Linked DNA regions of Arabidopsis thaliana. The protein of the gene in region 1 purifies or fractionates together with the protein of each later gene. This does not show direct contact. Each region holds a gene or a part of one and is shown on either strand. Other genes may lie near its edges. The genes, in order: CYCB2;2, GR-RBP2, AT4G38900 and EXLA1.

The links.
Region 2: the proteins of CYCB2;2 (region 1) and GR-RBP2 purify together in Arabidopsis thaliana (affinity purification with mass spectrometry, with the first as the bait; one large-scale study listed by BioGRID). This does not show direct contact.
Region 3: the proteins of CYCB2;2 (region 1) and AT4G38900 purify together in Arabidopsis thaliana (affinity purification with mass spectrometry, with the first as the bait; one large-scale study listed by BioGRID). This does not show direct contact.
Region 4: the proteins of CYCB2;2 (region 1) and EXLA1 purify together in Arabidopsis thaliana (affinity purification with mass spectrometry, with the first as the bait; one large-scale study listed by BioGRID). This does not show direct contact.

What each region holds. Positions count from the first base shown.
Region 1 is NC_003075.7:16,899,827-16,904,779, forward strand, and holds CYCB2;2 (Cyclin B2;2), read left to right. Parts: upstream 1-1,769; 5' UTR 1,770-1,917; coding exon 1,918-1,981; intron 1,982-2,072; coding exon 2,073-2,208; intron 2,209-2,292; coding exon 2,293-2,352; intron 2,353-2,429; coding exon 2,430-2,583; intron 2,584-2,665; coding exon 2,666-2,803; intron 2,804-2,892; coding exon 2,893-2,982; intron 2,983-3,060; coding exon 3,061-3,282; intron 3,283-3,367; coding exon 3,368-3,466; intron 3,467-3,544; coding exon 3,545-3,723; coding exon of another isoform or gene 3,724-3,727; exon of another isoform or gene 3,728-3,792; coding exon 3,793-3,940; 3' UTR 3,941-4,175; downstream 4,176-4,953. Other genes in the region: AT4G35610 (zinc finger (C2H2 type) family protein), read right to left, coding at 1-399; PSAT (phosphoserine aminotransferase), read left to right, coding at 4,379-4,953.
Region 2 is NC_003075.7:8,018,830-8,022,978, reverse strand, and holds GR-RBP2 (glycine-rich RNA-binding protein 2), read right to left. Parts: upstream 2,267-4,149; 5' UTR 1,960-2,266; intron 1,667-1,959; 5' UTR 1,666-1,666; coding exon 1,545-1,665; intron 1,448-1,544; coding exon 1,379-1,447; intron 1,297-1,378; coding exon 1,190-1,296; intron 1,094-1,189; coding exon 914-1,093; 3' UTR 503-913; downstream 1-502. Other genes in the region: AT4G13860 (RNA-binding (RRM/RBD/RNP motifs) family protein), read right to left, coding at 1-73, 190-258, 354-378. UniProt on the Arabidopsis thaliana protein: Promotes the cis-splicing and editing of several mitochondrial RNAs (including NAD5 transcripts). Plays a role in RNA transcription or processing during stress. Binds RNAs and DNAs sequence with a preference to single-stranded nucleic acids.
Region 3 is NC_003075.7:18,138,691-18,143,976, forward strand, and holds AT4G38900 (Basic-leucine zipper (bZIP) transcription factor family protein), read right to left. Parts: upstream 3,261-5,286; 5' UTR 3,030-3,260; exon of another isoform or gene 2,920-3,029; 5' UTR 2,831-2,919; coding exon 1,632-2,830; intron 1,571-1,631; coding exon 1,420-1,570; intron 1,336-1,419; coding exon 1,251-1,335; intron 1,101-1,250; coding exon 874-1,100; 3' UTR 605-873; downstream 1-604. Other genes in the region: AT4G38890 (FMN-linked oxidoreductases superfamily protein), read right to left, coding at 132-410. UniProt on the Arabidopsis thaliana protein: Transcription factor that acts as a repressor of reproductive development, meristem size and plant growth. Regulates meristem size, cell size and cell number during plant development.
Region 4 is NC_003074.8:16,894,009-16,898,008, forward strand, and holds EXLA1 (expansin-like A1), read left to right. Parts: upstream 1-2,157; 5' UTR 2,158-2,229; coding exon 2,230-2,350; exon of another isoform or gene 2,351-2,386; coding exon of another isoform or gene 2,387-2,426; coding exon 2,427-2,721; intron 2,722-2,799; coding exon 2,800-3,181; 3' UTR 3,182-3,300; downstream 3,301-4,000. Other genes in the region: HTB9 (Histone superfamily protein), read right to left, coding at 3,484-3,936.

The DNA.
Region 1 (4,953 bases):
TGGATGAGTCAATTCCTTTGCTTTCTTCTTCGGCTTTTTCGCTTCTCCTTCACCCAAACCATCCCCTTCGTCATCGGTTTGCGTAGATATCCTTGGTCTACTCTTTTTCTTCCCACCACTCCCACTTCCCTCATTCATTCCTTTCATAACCGCTTCCTCTGCCGCAGCCAAAATCAACCCCGCCGCAAGAACCGCTTGCTCATTCAAACGCGCTTTTTCTGCATCTTCCTCAACGACACTACTACTCTCTCCAAATATTCTACTGCTGATATTCAAAGCAGGGAGGCCGAGAACAATTTCTCTCATATTGGTTTCTTCATCGCTCCATTGCTCATCAGATTCCTCTTTCTCTTCCTCAGTAACATCCACTTTCGTTTTCTCTGGGTTCGGATTACTCATACTATTTTCGCACTTTAGTCTAGGGATTGATGTTTCAAAACGACATTGAATTAGCCCTTATATAAAGTTTTCTCTGAACCATGGCGGTTATGACAGTTAATTCCTCTCCCGCCTTTTCGTTTGAAGATTTGCATCCGTCGTTTGTGATTGGTCCGTCCTAAACTCTGATATTACGTAAATTTGGGCTTAATATCGTATAAAGCCCATTACTAGCCCATAAGTTATTCGTACTTGGTAGGTTGGTTCAAGAGTTTTTCTTGTTTTCTGTTTGTAATCGTTTCTCGTGCGTTTTTGGTCATCGAGATTGCAAGAGTCGTTGCAACTGCACTAATACTATTATGCATGTGACATCCGACAATGACGTGACTTGTAAACTTTTGTTTTGACATATTTTTTCTTTATTTATTATTACAATAACATTATCATTTTTTTTTTTTGGGTGGAAACATTATCATTTTTATTAGCCATTCTTTATTTATTCTATATGTTTTTACTATTTAAAATTTAAACATTGATGTATACCGGTAAACATAGTTTTCAATGTCAGAAGGAAGCTCTTGAAGCTATGTAATAAATCACAAATACAACAAATTGCAACACCAAAAAAAACTAATGTAACCATTGATGTGTGATATATGATATAGCGAAGCCGCAACTGTCTTAAATATTATTTTGAATAATATCTACACACTAGACTCTAACTAAACGTTTAACAGTTTTCTAAAAATGCAGATATAAAAAGTTATCTAAAATATTTCACATATTTGAATAAGAAATTAGAAACACAATCACCTTTTGACCATTCTAAGGAAATTCAATTACAATAACTATGACCAGAATCATCTAGCCTAATTTTTGATATTCTCTAAATTAAATATTTTTAAAAAGCTTGACCAAAAAAAAAGAAATGGCAAGAACACTTACTACAGAGTCAGCATAATTCTCGGTAACAATAATTCTTAGGAAAGAGAGCAATTCTTAGCTCTGTAGTAAAACACAGATTAATAAGCTAAGATTAAGATTAAAGAATCAATATGTTGACTTTAAGATCTTAGAGCCGCGCCTTACGGAGGCTCTGGCTAGTGGTAACGAGCCTTCTTTGTCTGAAAAAGGCAACAAAAAAAACACAAAAAAGGAATAATAAATTTGAAATGAGAAAGAGAGAGCCACCACACACACCACATGGCCAAAAAAGTTACCGTTGGGTTTAGACAGACTTAGAAACAAATCGTTTCCTTCATGATCCAACGGTCATCTTAATCACCTAGCCGTTGCTATTTCCTTCAATAATAAAAAAAAATAAAATAAAAAAAGGTAGCAACTTTAATTTTAATTGATTTGATTTAATTTCTCTCTCTCGCTTATTTCATCCCCTTCTCTGACTCCTACTGATTCATTCAATTGCATCAGACGTATACACAGAGTCACAGAGAGAAGAGAGATCCTTCTTCGTTTGATGCTCTTCTTCTTCTTCTAGATTCTTCTCCAGGAGCACTATCAAATCGAGTAAAATAAACAATGGTTAATCCAGAGGAGAACAATCGTAATCTCGTTGTCAAACCCATTACAGAGATTCTTCAAGGTAGTAGTAGTAAAACGCCTTTGAAAAATCTGAGAATTATAGGTCTGACGAACAGAGAGTCTGATGTTGTTTTGTTTCTGGGTTTTGTCAGATGATGATAAGAGAAGCAGAAAATTCGGTGTAGAGATGAAGAGACAGAACAGGAGAGCATTGGGTGTGATTAATCACAATCTCGTTGGTGCAAAAGCTTATCCTTGTGTTGTTAACAAGAGAAGAGGCTTATCTCAGTAATATACTTAACTCTCTCGAATCCTAAAGTTTGTCTCTTTGATTCTTGGTTTTGGGATTTTGATGATTATTTTCTTCAATAGGAGAAAACAAGAAAGCTGTGACAAGAAGAAGCTTGATTCATTGCATCCGTCAATTTCAAGGTTAATAAAGTTTAAAGCTTTCAAAAACGTTTCTTTTGCTGAGAAAGAGAGATCTGATGTTATTTGAATTTCTGCAGATCTCAGGAAGAGACTAAGAAGCTGAAACCAAGTGGAAACGAGTTTGGTGATTGCATATTCATTGATGAAGAAGAGGAGAAGAATGAAGAAGTTACATTGGACCAACCTATGCCAATGTCATTGGAGGAACCATACATTGAATTTGATCCAATGGTAATTAACAATCACTTTTCAAAAGATCTTTAGCTTTTTTCTTTTAATGTGAATTCTAAAGAAAGTTTTTTGATTTGGACAGGAGGAAGAAGTTGAGATGGAGGATATGGAAGAAGAACAAGAAGAACCAGTTTTGGATATAGACGAATACGATGCAAACAACTCTCTTGCAGCTGTTGAATACGTCCAAGATCTTTACGATTTCTACCGTAAAACCGAGGTACGGTTTCTTAATATGTCTCTGAACCAAAACCATAAGATTTTGAATTCGGACTGAGACAATTTTCCATGGATTTTGGTAATCTGCAGAGATTTAGCTGTGTTCCTCTAGATTACATGGCGCAACAGTTTGATATATCTGACAAAATGAGAGCAATACTTATTGACTGGCTCATCGAGGTATATTCAAGCACCTCTCAATGGTAATGGATTATTGTATATATAGAGGCTAATTAAGAAGCTTCTTGGATGTTTCAGGTACATGATAAGTTTGAGCTGATGAACGAGACATTGTTTCTAACAGTCAATCTGATAGATAGATTCTTGTCCAAGCAAGCTGTTGCAAGAAAGAAGCTTCAGCTTGTTGGTTTAGTTGCATTGCTCTTAGCTTGCAAGTACGAAGAGGTTTCAGTACCTATTGTTGAAGATTTGGTAGTCATTTCGGACAAAGCTTATACGAGGACCGATGTTTTAGAAATGGTAAAATAAGATTGTTTCTTTCCAAAAACTCGGTAAAAAGATTATACATTTGATCTGATTTCAATAATATAATCTTTGTGTGCAGGAGAAGATTATGCTTAGTACTTTGCAATTCAATATGTCGTTACCAACGCAATACCCTTTCTTGAAGAGGTTCCTCAAGGCAGCTCAATCAGACAAGAAGGTAAAGAAACAAATCTATCAATGTACACAATAATATAAATGGATTGTGAATTACAAACTAATCTTGTTATTGAAACAGCTTGAGATCTTGGCGTCGTTCTTGATTGAGCTTGCTCTTGTGGACTACGAAATGGTTCGGTATCCACCATCGTTACTCGCCGCCACTGCCGTGTACACAGCTCAATGTACAATCCATGGCTTCAGTGAATGGAACAGCACTTGTGAATTCCATTGTCACTACTCTGAGAATCAACTCCTGTAAGTCTCTTTTACCCATTAGCACCTATAAAGACTCATCTTTGTAACTAATATGGGTTTGTTTTACAGAGAATGTTGTAGAAGAATGGTGAGACTACATCAGAAAGCTGGGACTGATAAACTAACAGGAGTACATAGAAAATACAGCTCCTCCAAATTCGGATACATAGCAACAAAGTATGAAGCTGCACACTTTCTTGTGTCAGATTCTCACTAAAGAGTGGAAAATAGTAGTTTGTGTATAGCTCGCTGCTAACATTTTCCCTCTCAATTTTTAATTACAAACGAAATAAGTTCAAAACATTCCTCTGATTTGATCTGTAACAAGTCTTTCTTTTATTGATATCTCAGCAATAAAATTCTCTTATACCAATCATATTTTTTGTCAATAGTTACAGATTCATAGAATATGTATGATATAAGGATGAGAGTTTTGATTTGAACTCTTTTTCTTCTACAACTTTAAATAAAACACATTGGAAATGAGTCTTAACTATACTAACACCGCAGACAAAACTAGTACCACCTAACACAAACGCTGTCGTTTTCAAGCTACATTTATATATCTCCCACCAACTCTTTCTCAGATCTTTTGTCTAAGTAAAAGCGAAAAGGGCAACAAACAAAAATAAACTCGGAGAATCTCACAACAATCATGGCGGCTACGACGAACTCTTTCCTTGTCGGAAGCAACAACACTCAGATTCCTGCTTTGAAACCCAAATCATCATCTCAATCCTTTCTTCACCTCAGCAAACCAAACACCGTCAACTTCGTCAGCAAAACCAAGCCCGTCGCTGTTAGATGCGTCGCTTCAACGACTCAAGTTCAAGATGGAGTTAGATCCGGCTCCGTCGGATCCCAAGAACGTGTCTTCAACTTCGCGGCGGGTCCAGCCACTTTGCCTGAGAACGTTCTCCTAAAAGCTCAGGCGGATCTATACAACTGGCGTGGATCTGGCATGAGTGTGATGGAGATGAGTCACAGAGGCAAAGAGTTTCTCTCGATTATACAAAAAGCTGAATCGGATCTTCGTCAGCTTCTCGAGATTCCTCAGGAATATTCCGTTTTGTTCTTACAAGGTGGTGCCACTACTCAATTCGCTGCTTTACCTCTCAATCTCTGCAAATCGGATGATACAGTCGATTTCGTTGTTACTGGTTCGTGGGGTGATAAAGCTGTCAAGGAAGCGAAGAAGTATTGCAAGACTAATGTGATTTGGTCTGGGAA
Region 2 (4,149 bases), 8.9 Mb from region 1:
TCGGAGTGACTGCTGTATGTGACAAATCCAAAACCCCTGGACCTATCTGTGTATCTGTCTCTCATTACAATTGCTGCACAAACAATAATAATTTTGGTGTAGTGACAACTGAGAAACTTAAACCACACTCAACAACATAAACAAGAAACTCGGAAATATTAATTGGAGGGCGATCCAAAAGGCTTTTACCATCTACTACGTTTCCGTAGCCGGAAAAGGCTTCCCTCAACATATCATCGGTAGTGGTCGGTGAGAGATCTGAAGCAATCGTAACAAAGCTTTCAAATAAATAAATAAAACTTGAGAAAACAAATTTGAAAAATGAACATCTACTAAAAGAAAGAAATAATTACTTCCGACGTAAACCCTGGTAGCCATGTTTTAAGCTGATCTTGAACAAAGACAGATGTATGTCAAAGTTAGGTTTAAGTAGACACAAAATTAGGAGTTTTGGAGGAATAGAGAATGGAGCCATGGAAAACAAGTTTAGGTGGACGATAGTATTTTAATATAGCGAATAAATCATGTGGAATTATAGAATCATTAATAGCGAATCAAATGTTGTCGCTCTCTGCTTTCATGATGTGTATCGGCTTTGACTTTGTATAAAAGTTTTCCACCTCAAATGGTTTAAACGTGAATCACGACACAAAAGATGAAACTTGAATCGAAGTTATGTATAGGACAGGAGTGAAATGGTATATAAGCACAAGTGAATGAAAGAAATGGTAAGACGTATTAGAATGCACCTAATGGGGGCAATAAAATATTAAACCGAATTGATTGGTAACCAAAAAAAGAGTAAAGAGTTTTCAGCAAATCCCATTCAGGTTTTGTACTAACATAAGATTCAATAGAAGAAACCAACTAAACAGAACCATTAACTCTTCTTCTTCACAAGCACCTCCTCTGTTTAGAAACCACCACCACCATCACCACCTCCTCCATAGCCACCACCTCCTCCTCCGTACCCACCACCACCTCCTCCGTAGCCTCCACCTCCACCACTGTATCCACCACCACCTCCATAAGCCCGTGGAGCACTTGGTCTATCATTAGCAGGATTCACTCGGATGTGACGACCATTCAGTTCCTGAAATTCCAAAACCCATAAACATTATTAAGTAAACCATTAAACAGATACAATTACCATTACAGCTATAAACTAACTGATACATTCAATACAAACCTTTCCGTCCATCTCTGATATGGCAGCAGTTGCAGCACCCTCATCATTGAAGTTGACAAATCCAAACCCCCTTGATCTTCCTGTCTCTCTATCAACGATAACTTTAGCTGCACAATTTTTCAAAAAACAAAACTTTAGTTCATCTCCACAAACTCTTACTCAATTATACCAAAAACAAGTGTAGCTTACCATCAACAACGTCACCGAAGTGAGCAAAAGCATCCCTTAAGGATGCGTCATCGGTTCCCCATGAGAGACCTAAAGCAATCAATATATAAAAAAGTCTCAGTACTAATTCAAGCAACACTAAAGTGAAGTAACTCTTCAATCTGACTCAAAAACAATAAGATTTTACCTCCGATGAAAAGCTTGGTAGACATCAACCGGAGAGATCCGAGCATAGACGTAACCGGAACATTTCCGTTAGAAGAAATGTTCTGTCTCAATAGACCACCGAGTTTGTTACAGAAAGCCATTCTACAAAGTTCCAAAAACACACAGAATCAGATCAGATCAACTGTTATAAATCAATACTAATAAAAACCCTAACTTTAAGACTAAATCATCAATTCAACGAGATGGGCTGATCCAAAACAAGTAGATCTATATTCAAAGTATACATAAGAGTAATTTTAAGCTCTAAATCCCTTACAGTCAAATTGAAACGAGAACACAAAACAGAGACACACTAGAAACGAATTCACCATGAAATTAAACAAAACAGAAACATAGTAAAGCTTAGGAGATCGAAGATGGTGAAGAAATGGTACCTGAAGAATAAAGATTCGAAATTAGGGTTTTGTGATCTGAGAAAGAGGCAGAGGAAATGTAGAATGAAGCCAAGGAGTAGGGTTTAAGGGGCTTTATATACAAAGCTCACTAAAAAATATCTCATTTTCTTTTCAGGATTTTTTTTCTCGCTAAATAATTTAATCTGGTGTGTGTACGTGTATATTTTTACTGTGTACTAAAGGGTAAAATAGTTGTACACGTAGCAGAGTCTGTGTAAATCAGTTCTTGTGGTACCAATCTTTTTGAGTGTACGATGTAGTCGGCGTAGAGGAACTAGTTTTTTTCTGATTTATCCAATTTGGTATTTTAGTTTTCCTCGCCCTATTTTATCTGATTTATATTGCTAAAAATAAGACTTTTTGTATTGGGCTTGGAAACCCATATTGATTGCTGGGCTTCAAAATCCATGTTAAACGGATAATTGTCGTTGATGGGCCATTCATTGAAAAGAAATGAATTTTCAGAAACAAAAACAAACAAAATTGTATGATTCACTAAAACTAGACTACATTTTATGAATTTCGTAATAAGTAGTGAGATATAATTCACTAAGACTAAATTTTTATTTTTAACATATAGGTTACCTTATGATTTTAATATTGAACATGATAATAAAAGTTTTCAATCTGCTTCCTAACAAAAATCTTTCGTACTTGTTATTGTTTGCTCAAAATCATAAGTTGATCGTTTTTTTGTTTGATAAACCTAAAAACTTAAATTTTCTCAACTCTCCCAACCTATAGACTTGTGTTCACATAGAAATAACATGTTAGGAAGAAAAAGATTATGCATCCTCTAACAGTTAAAATCGTCTACGAAATGTTTGTGGCAATAATTATATATATATCATTATTGTTTTTCTAGTTAGTGATGAATTTATTTTCATTTTTGCTAACTGCTTCTGAAAAAATGATGGATCGTTGTATATATTCATGTAAAACTCAAATATAGTCACAATCTTCTTAAGTTCGTCTTAACATCCATGTGTAGTGGTCCTGATTGATTTTTAATGTCTTGAATATAGCAACCTTATTCACGGTTATAGATTAATGTTCCACCAATTTCAATTCATGTGGCATCTCTTTATATATATGTTACATCCTTTTCAGTTTCTATATAATTATTTCTTGATATATTTCTTTATTCTCAATACTCATTTCAATTCATGACTAGTAAACATTAACCTTGCTACATGAAAGCTACACAAAAGGAAAAAAAAAAAACTTTGAAACTGCATAGGGTTTCTATTAGAGAATATATAGCTGGTTTGTTCTGGTTTAAATTAGTTTGGTAATAGCTTTGGTTTAGTTTGCTTGGGAGAATCTAAAATGGTATTTTTCATTCGTTTAAATAAATAAGTGTTTATGGAATACTGGAAGATCATCCCAAAGTAACACAAGCGAAGAAGAAGAAAGATAGTGAAAGTCGACCAATCCTTTCTATTTCTGAATTTTAACATTTTGGTTTTTGATGTTTGGTCATGGATTAATTCTGAGGTTTACTTCAAACAATTTCTTACGGTAGCAATAAATAAATTGTTGTGAAAAATAATTCATGATTTGTTGTTGTGTCCGTTTTCTATCGTTGCTAATTTAAATTTCAATACTGTTTTATCTCATAAACCATCCTAATAGTATTATTATCAAAGCTCTGATTCATTTTGTACAATTGAAAATATTGATGTTGATGGAAATAATCAAATTTTAAAGTGGCGACAAAACATATTAAAATGTTTGAGATGATTAACTACTCTTTTTTTTGTGTGGATAGTCTATCGAATATAAATTACTAGAGACCAACAACAATGTAATATTATAGATTATGAAAAAGTACTATACTATATAAGATTATTATTTTTTCAGTTAAGGAATAGGATAAAATAATAAGTTGAGATGACTAACACATTTGAATTATTGCCTTAGCTTAAAATCACATACTTTACCAATGGTTGTTTTGTTATGTTTTTTTTTTTTTTTTTCTGTTATGTTAAGTGCATATATATTTTCTATGGTACTAGTTTCCGTGTCAAGCCCGATAACTAATCTGGAGGTAAGTAGACCCCATATGAGTTTTCCGCAAGCTCACTTCAGATAAAAAAACTCATGCAAAGGTCGTCCAAGAGTCCAAGTTGAATTGAATCCGGATCTTCATCAACCATCCAAGATCAC
Region 3 (5,286 bases), 1.2 Mb from region 1:
CATAAATTAATCCCTCCTGTTCTAAACTCTCTCTCATATCCAATGGTTTCAGTTGCCAAAAAAACTAGTTCTTAAAACATAGATAGATTCGAAGCTATACATACAAGCACCGATGTGATTCGAATCAATACCTCGCGGCGTTCCCGTTTCAGTTGTCGTTTAGATTTCTTCTCCTGAACCAAACCCGATTGAGGCGCCCTAACATCGGCGGCATCATTTTGCTTCACGGAACGGCTTGGAGGAGGAGGACAAAGGAACTCCTTCTTAATAGGAGCCATTGATCGTTCTATAAGCTCTTCCGAAGTCGCTTCATACACAGAGAACTGTTTCGTCGATTGAACCGGTAACGCAGCCTTTGCATCTCCTTCAACACTAGTATCCACCGCGTGCTCCGCTATTACATCTGACATAGCGGTCAAGCTCCGTCGTCACGAAAATGAAGTGAGTGATAGTGTTTGTTAGGGTTTTAGATATTATTCACAGAGAGAGACGAAGAAGGCAACAATGTTTTGGGATGCTGTTTAATGGGCCAAAAACCGGCCCATAATGTTAAAATAAACAAACCAACAAAAAGAGACAGAATCCAAGACTAAATTAAAAACTAAAAACAAAACAAACAGAGAATCTTTTTGTCTGAAGCTCAATCAATCCCATTACATATAACTTGTGTTCATAGTTCATACCTATATCTACTATAAATTGAATTTTTTCTTTCTAAGATAACAACATATTGTAAAATTAAATTTCTTGGACTTATATGATATATATGTAAATTCAACTGACTCTGCACATAAATGAAATATAATGTTTGATTTGATATGTAACTTGTTGAAAAACTCCAACCCTTTGATCCACCGCAACAACTTCTCTGCTCTATTCATTTGATTCAGATTTTGTTGCCATGGTTCCATTCTGGTGGTTCTGCTGATGAGACTGTTGCTGCATCTGTTGTGGCTGCTGTCTTAACTGGCTGATGTTGAGTTGCTGGAACATCTCAGCGTTGAGTGATTGCATCTTTGATCTCTCTGATTCGTTCTGACTGCTCTCACCGATTGCCAGTTTCAGTCGCTGGACTTCTCCATTCAGTGCTTCGTTCAGAGCTGCAAAGCGGGGGAAAAAAATCGTCATTTCACATTCGTTAAGCGCAAAAATGGAGATTTTTTTAAAGCATATAGGATCTGGTTCCATTTTTTGTTAAAGTCATGTTAATAATATCGTAAATTTGATACAATGTGAAGAGAAATGTATACCATCGCGAAGACGCGCTTGTTGCTCCATTGCTTGAAGCCGGAACTTAAGCTCATTGTTCTGATTTGTCAACCCCATCATATCGCGCTGGATAATGCAGTAACTAAGATCGTTAGAACAAAACAAAAATTGACCAATCTAGGCGCTTTTATAACATTGTAAACAACGCACCTGCAAAAGTGTGAGCTGAGCAGACAATGTGGTAGCCTCGGTCTGAAGAGTCTGCACTTTGTGTTCCAATTCTACTATGTACCGCATCTTCCTCTCCTTTGACCGTGCTGCGGATTGACGGTTCGCTAAGATTCTGAAAAGAGGATCATTCCTTAAACATCAGAATATTTGATTATAAACCGGTAATGTTAGTCAAGATTCAATATTTGTACCTTTTGACACGTTTAGGGTCAGACATGGCCATCTCTGCTAGTTTATCATTTGCCATGATCTTCTTCATTTCCGCTGCAGTAAACTCACCGTTATTGAACTCGATGCTAAAAGCAGCACCCGAGTTCCCATCAACCGAATTGGTAGGGGAAACTTTCCTTGACATAGATCCAGGAGAAGGAGGCGGCTTTAGAGATTCATCACCAAAAGACAACTTCTCCATGAAACAACTGTCCACTGAAACACTCCTGTAATGTCTGGTGGTAGGAGCAATATCTCCTCCAGCCGCTCTTCTCTTCACGCTCTCTCTCTTTTCACCAGAAGAATTCATATTATTATTGGCACTCTCATTGACACTGCTGCTCTCTCCTTCCGTATCACTACCGTTAGTCTTGGTCCCGCTTGCTCTGCTGCTCTCCATATCATCCCTATTCTCATTACCGTTCTTGCTATCATCAGCTTCAGAGGAGTTCAACACATCAATGTTTTCAAGATTCATATATGCTGAGAAGAGATCATCCATAGCTTCTCTCTCTCCGACACCTTCCCTTTCGCAGCTCGATTCCTTCTTCACAAAAGGATTAGACTTTGACCAATCAGCACACTCCCCACCAGAAAAAGACCTCTCCAATGGTCTCGGAGGGATCAAAGGCATCGAATTAAACCCACTGGGGATATCACTGTTGGAGCGTCTATGAGACTTTCTCGGAGGTAAACTCTCACCGACTCTCAAGGAGCTAGAAGAGGTCGAATTACACCTCGTGAACGGCGATGGAGGCAACGAATGGTTGCTGTTAAACACGCCGGAATCTCTATCCTCCATTGAAACATCGTGATCTCGAAACGGAGAAGGGCTTAACGGAGGTAAGGAGTCAAAAGAGAAGAAAGAGTTGGGCTGTGACATTGACCGTGAATGATTAGCTCCTCCCGGGTTAAAATTATGCGAACCGGGTTGTCGGGTGGTCGGGATCTGAGAAAACGGAGAAGTCGGTGGGATTAAGTTGGGGTGCGACGGAGGAACACCGATTCGTTTGCCACTGTCACTGAAAGGCTTGGAGAATTGAGGAGCTGATGAGCGGATGAAATTAGGGTTTAAATCGAGCTGAGAAATGGGATTTTTGGGAATGGAAGAAGAAGTAGTGCCGAAAGATGAATGAAGTCTCTGGATCATATCACTGTTACACTTCTCTGTATCACCCATTTTAGATCGGATAATGCAGTTTCTAATTCTCACCACTCTCCAATAACTAGAGAAAACCCCTAAAAGATCAAGCTTTGTGTAGAACTAACCTATCATCAAAAAAGAATCAATGATGAGAAGAAAACAAGCATCAAAGTTTTCAAAAGAATTTGACAGAAAAATCAGAGCTTTGGAGAGTAAAATGCAAGTTGGTGGTTACCTCTAACTTCAACGCACTTGAATTAATCAATGGCGCAAATGGCGAGAACGTATTTTGAAGAATGACAAAATCTTTTTTTTTTTTTCTCTCTGTCTCTCAACGTTGAATTAAGAAACTTATCTAATCAATCTTCTTCTTCTCTCTCTCTCTATAGAAATTGGAGAATCACAGAGCCATTTTCTCTTTCTTTTCTTTTTTCCTCCGCAATTTTCTCTCCCCTTTGATTTTTTTTTTCTCGAGAGAGAATAGTAAAAAAAAACTCGATAGAGACGACGACTTTTTTTTTTCTTTTTTGACACGAGCAAGACAGTGTAAACTCTAAAGTAGTACTAGTAACAAAGAAAAACAAAAGACACGGATTTCATGAGAAGTAAGAGAAAAAGAAGAAATATAAAAACACCCAACAAGACGCGTGAATTTACCACAACCTCCCAAGATTTTCTATTTAATGCAATTCTATCCAAAACTTTATATAAATTTGGATTTGTTATTTTTTAGCCATTTATTTCAAATGTTTTTTTAAGTAAAAATCTGTGTATATTGAGTATCAAATACGAATTTAACATATATATTCCTCATTCATATGATTACATTGTATATATATACGGTTATTTTTTGGATAAAGATCTAAAACTTGTTTAGTTTCACAATATTACTGGTTTGACAAAATGAATTTTAGGAATAATATTCTTTGTCATCCGAAATGGAAGTTAAAACCATTTAGCGAAAATGTTTCTTTTTATTTTTGATGATTTGAATATGGATTTGAGATTCAATTCTATTCCGACCACAATTGACATTCTTGTCTAGACGAAAGATTCTGTCCTCCTTATGTTGTCATGTACAATGTAAAAAGCCATTCTTTGTATTTTCTTTAATTATGCCTCTCTTACTTATATATTTCTTTAAATAATATGTAATGGACCGCCATATTGAATGATTTGTTCCCGACTTATTTGTCTACACCAATAATTTCTTTGTTTACGAATTTTAGAGATCGTCTGTGTTGATCTCGTGCTTCATCGTTTATTTATGTAAGGACGATGACAGATAGGTTCGTTCATTTTGGTGATTAATCTATCAACCGTTTCAAGGCTTGGTGCAAAAATGTTCTAAACGGTGGTAACCAGAGTTTACAATCTTTGTAAACAATTTCTAAGATCTAGATTTCACCTATCAATATAATTATATACTTCATTTGCTTTTAATTAGATGAACCCCACCACACAACAAATATTGACTCTTTATAACCACCTCCCTCCATGTTTCTCGTAAATATCTACATATCATTATTTGATTCTACGATTATAGTATTTTACTAGGTGTTTAGTCGCACTACCCGCGGTTTGTTGCGTCAATTCTTTTTATTTTAATTTTTTAAAAGAAATCAAATTACAATGCACGTTTTAAGAAATTTTCTATTTTTGTAAAAAAATTCAGTTTCAAATATAGATTTGACATCAAAATAATCAAAGATAACCAATGATTTTCTTATTTAAATGAACTACTAGTATTTTTGTTCCTTAAGAAATTAATAGAAGACATAGAACAGCGTGTGAAAATGATAATTGAAAGTCGTAATTAAGGTGTTAAATCACGTGGATTAAGTCGTAGTCATATCATAAATGGTCGTGTTACAATTAATTAACAGGAACCGAATAACATCACTATACTGGAGTATTAACGAAACTATAATGCACGTTTTAAAAATCAAACCACGGTGGTTTAAGAAATAAAATTGTTTGATTGAGTAATTATGTAAAGTTTGTATGTGCAACGGATATGATCTACCGATCTAAACGTGGGCCAAACATATTAATCAGATTAATATAAGTGGGGGCAGTGTTCGTCTTGATCACGTTTGAATTAATTTCACAAACAATATTATGCCTGCATCACAAATTAAGAGTTTAGAGCAAATTTTTATTTTGGCTTTCGAGAAATTCATGTATTTTATTTGGTATACGTATCTTTATAATTCTCGGCAAATGCAAATGCTACAACATCCATAACCATGCACATCCAAAGTTTGGAATATTACATTCTCCTATAAAACGAATATACTCTTTGCCTCTTTGATAAGCAACTTTTGTTTTCTTCAGATTTGGCTTACGAAAAAAAACTTGAATAATCAAATATAATCCACCTAATATACTTTTCTGTAAATAAGTTCAACCCTAATATAAAGAAAAAAAAGTTTTTTAACAACAAATTTGGCCAAACGAATTTCTTTATTTACTTGAAGTTCGGAACTATA
Region 4 (4,000 bases), on another chromosome or scaffold:
TTATCATTGCAAGCAAGAATCCGACAAGAAAAAAAAAACATATCTTAGAGATGTCTAACAATTGGAAAACAATAATGTATGGAAAGGTTTAAGATAGGTCAAAGAAGAAACTGTTGTGTCTTTATATAAATTAGTAAGGAAACATAGTCAAAAAGGTTTCGTGGTGTAGTTGGTTATCACGTCAGTCTAACACACTGAAGGTCTCCGGTTCGAACCCGGGCGAAGCCATTTATTAATTTTGATTTTTTTTTGATAAATTTCCGGTTCAAATATGCGTTGAACGTAGAGATTTGATTGAATCTGAAATCTAAAAATCGCAGGCTTAAGTTAGTACTTGAATCATTGTTATATTCGCAGTTATCTTGAGATTTTCGTACTGTACATTTCAATATTTTATCCATCTTGATACATTTACATATGTTGTGATTTATAATTAGCTAGAAAATCCCCTCACAAATAACTATTTAACTAAATGGAAATCAATCAAAGATAATGTCTCATTCTCATCTATAAAGTCTTAAGCATCTCTTCAGTGAAATTTCTAAAGTTAAAGCTGGTGATATATACATCTATCCTATAGGTTTCAAGTTTTTTAGTATGTCAAGCAATGCAACCGCTGCAATATAAGTGCAACTATTTTGAAAATAAAACATTTCTAATGTCATTTGAAGTGGCTTGAATGAACCCAACTACACGATGGACTCACTTAAACAATACTCACCTCACTGGACTCCTTTAAAGCCCGCACCACTAAAAAAAATATACTCTTCTTGTTACTAGACATTAGCCTATACCAAATCCCATTAGCCTTAATTTTCGATATGCATCATTAATAAAAGTCAGTGGTTGATAAAGAAATCTTACACACAAAAAAAACTTATATATTGTATATCCCGACAATGAAAAAAAAGAGATATAGAGGGGAGTATTATGAAGATATCTTCACATGTAGTAATCAATGCCGTATGAGTCGTTCTCACATGGATGTTTTAAGGTACCAATCTTTGAATATTTTGAAGATTTCAATAACTCAAAATCAACAAAATCTAACATACAAACTTTTGACATGTCCGAATTAATACTAACACATGTATCGATAGAGTTTAGTGATAAATCACTTAGCCCTAATGCTCTACATCTAATTATTAAATGTGTAGACTTTCATTTTTATAAGCTGGTTTGTTAGTGGAAATGAGTTGTTATGAACTAAATCCTAGCTAATCCCTAGGGAAAAAAAACTTGGGTAGATTTTTCATTTTAATTAACGAACGATACAAAGACGTGTGTAGAGTCTATAGACGAAGTGATGAAAAGGGTTTAGGCAAAAAGAGAAAGATAGAAAGAAAGTGAAATTGGTTTTGGAATTTGTTCTTATCTTTCCCCTACTTCCCAAAGCAATCCCGTTTTTCAGGTTTGTCTCTATTATTAAAATTCATTCTTAACTTGATATGGTAAGACGTGTTTATAGATACACTTACTGATTTTATAATAAAAATGCAAGGATTTTTGAAATCTGTTAAAATCAAATCTTTATCAAAATGTAATAAAATCAATAAACGAGGAATACCATATTTCAAAAGTATTAAGCGAATAAAAACACGATTTTATTTTTAAAAACTTTGGTATCAACGTTATGATAACACATGATTATGTTTAGATTTTTAAATCAATTAAAATCCGATAACTCTCACTAATATTTTTCTTTTATATGTTTTAGTTGGCACAAATTAAAAAAAAAATCTATCCCAAATTTTTTAAATATATGTATTATTATTGGTTAGGTTTTAAAAAAGAACAAATATGGGTTATTTCGTTTATTAATTAGTTTCGACACTCTAACAAATGTTTTGTCCCTTACCTAAAGAGAAGACCGTCATGAACAAAGCAAAGAAAAGAGTCGGTGTAACGCCACATCATCCCATGACTCATATTGGTAAAACTATCTTCTCTCTTTCACACTTCTTCTTTTTACTTTGGACTAATGATTTAATCAAAGATGTCATTTTAACATATATGTATAAAACGCGTAATTGGGAAGATACACACACACACATACCAGCTATGACGTGACAGTGTGTGTTAGATATTGAGATGATGAGCTGGCATCAACCTCTCTATAGTCTCTATATAATCCATTCTTTGTCCTCTCTTCTCTTTACATGTAAATTCACATATCTCTCTCTCTTATTTGATCATAAAGATATTATTGCTTCTTCAAGTAAACAAAAAATGGGAAGCTTTCTCTTCCTCATCGTAGTCATCTTCCTCTTCTCTTCATCCGTTAACGCTTGTGATCGATGTCTTCACCGTTCTAAAGCAGCTTATTTCTCCTCTGCCTCTGCTCTCTCTTGTAAACATTTTAACTACTTCTTTTTTAACTATCTGTATGTTTCTTTTCTCATGTCTTGTTTATGTGTTTTTTGCAGCTGGAGCTTGTGCTTATGGCTCTATGGCTACGAGTTTCTTCGCCGGACATATCGCTGCAGCTATCCCTTCTATCTACAAAGACGGTGCTGGCTGTGGAGCTTGCTTTCAAGTCAGATGCAAGAACCCTAAGCTGTGTAGCACTAAAGGAACCATTGTGATGATCACAGACTTAAACAAGAGTAACCAAACCGATCTTGTCCTTAGTAGCAGAGCTTTTAGAGCTATGGCTAAACCTATTGTTGGTGCTGACAAAGACCTTCTCAAACAAGGCATTGTCGACATCGAATACCAAAGGTTCGATTCTCAAAACACCTAAACTCTTTGGTTTTCTTAATCACACGATATTAACTTGGTCATCAAAAAAAAAAACAGAGTTCCTTGCGATTACGGCAACAAGAACATGAACGTGAGAGTAGAAGAAGCAAGCAAGAAACCAAACTACTTAGAGATAAAGCTTTTATACCAAGGAGGTCAAACAGAAGTAGTATCCATCGACATTGCTCAAGTCGGTTCATCGCCAAATTGGGGTTACATGACAAGAAGCCACGGAGCTGTTTGGGTAACTGACAAAGTACCCACCGGAGCTATCCAGTTCAGGTTCGTAGTAACCGGTGGATACGACGGTAAAATGATTTGGTCACAGAGTGTTCTTCCATCCAATTGGGAAGCTGGGAAAATTTACGACGCCGGTGTTCAAATCACTGACATTGCTCAAGAAGGTTGTGATCCTTGCGATGCTCACATCTGGAACTAAGTTATTTAGTGGCACACAAACAAACATCTTTCATAGGTTTATATATAATGTGTGACAGAGGTTATTAATGAACATAGTTAAAGAATGCTTAATCTAATGATTCTCATGATTCTACATTGATTAAACAAGAGAACAACATTGAGCCATTAACAACCAGAACTTTTGATTCGAAGACAGATTCATAAGATTACTTTACAACGGAGAATGATAATTAAAGCTTAATAAAACGAAAGAGAAATCCTAACACAAGTTATGACAACATCAGAATCAAATTCAGAGTATACAAACCCTAATTTACTAATTCAAGAGCTTGTGAATTTGGTAACAGCCTTGGTTCCTTCAGAAACAGCGTGTTTAGCGAGCTCACCAGGAAGAACGAGTCTAACAGCAGTCTGAATCTCCCGAGAAGTAATCGTCGGCTTCTTGTTATACCTAGCGAGCTTTGAAGATTCCGATGCCAATTTCTCGAAGATGTCGTTGATGAAACTGTTCATAATACCCATAGCCTTGCTTGAAATACCAATATCTGGATGAACTTGTTTCAGAACCTTGAAGATGTAGATCTTGTAAGTTTCCACACTCTTCTTCTTCATCTTCTTCTTCTTATCGCCGCCGGCCCCGGCTTCCTTCGGGAGTTTCTTGCCGGCTTTTGGTTTCTTCTCCGCCGGAGCTTTCTCGGCTTTTGATTTCTCCTCTACTGGTTTCTCGGCGGCTGGTTTCTTCTCCGCGGGCTTCTTCTCTGCTCTCGGCGCCATTGTTTTGACTTTTGTTTTACTTTTCTGGGTGAAGAAGAAGAAGCACAGATCTGAGTGATTTTGA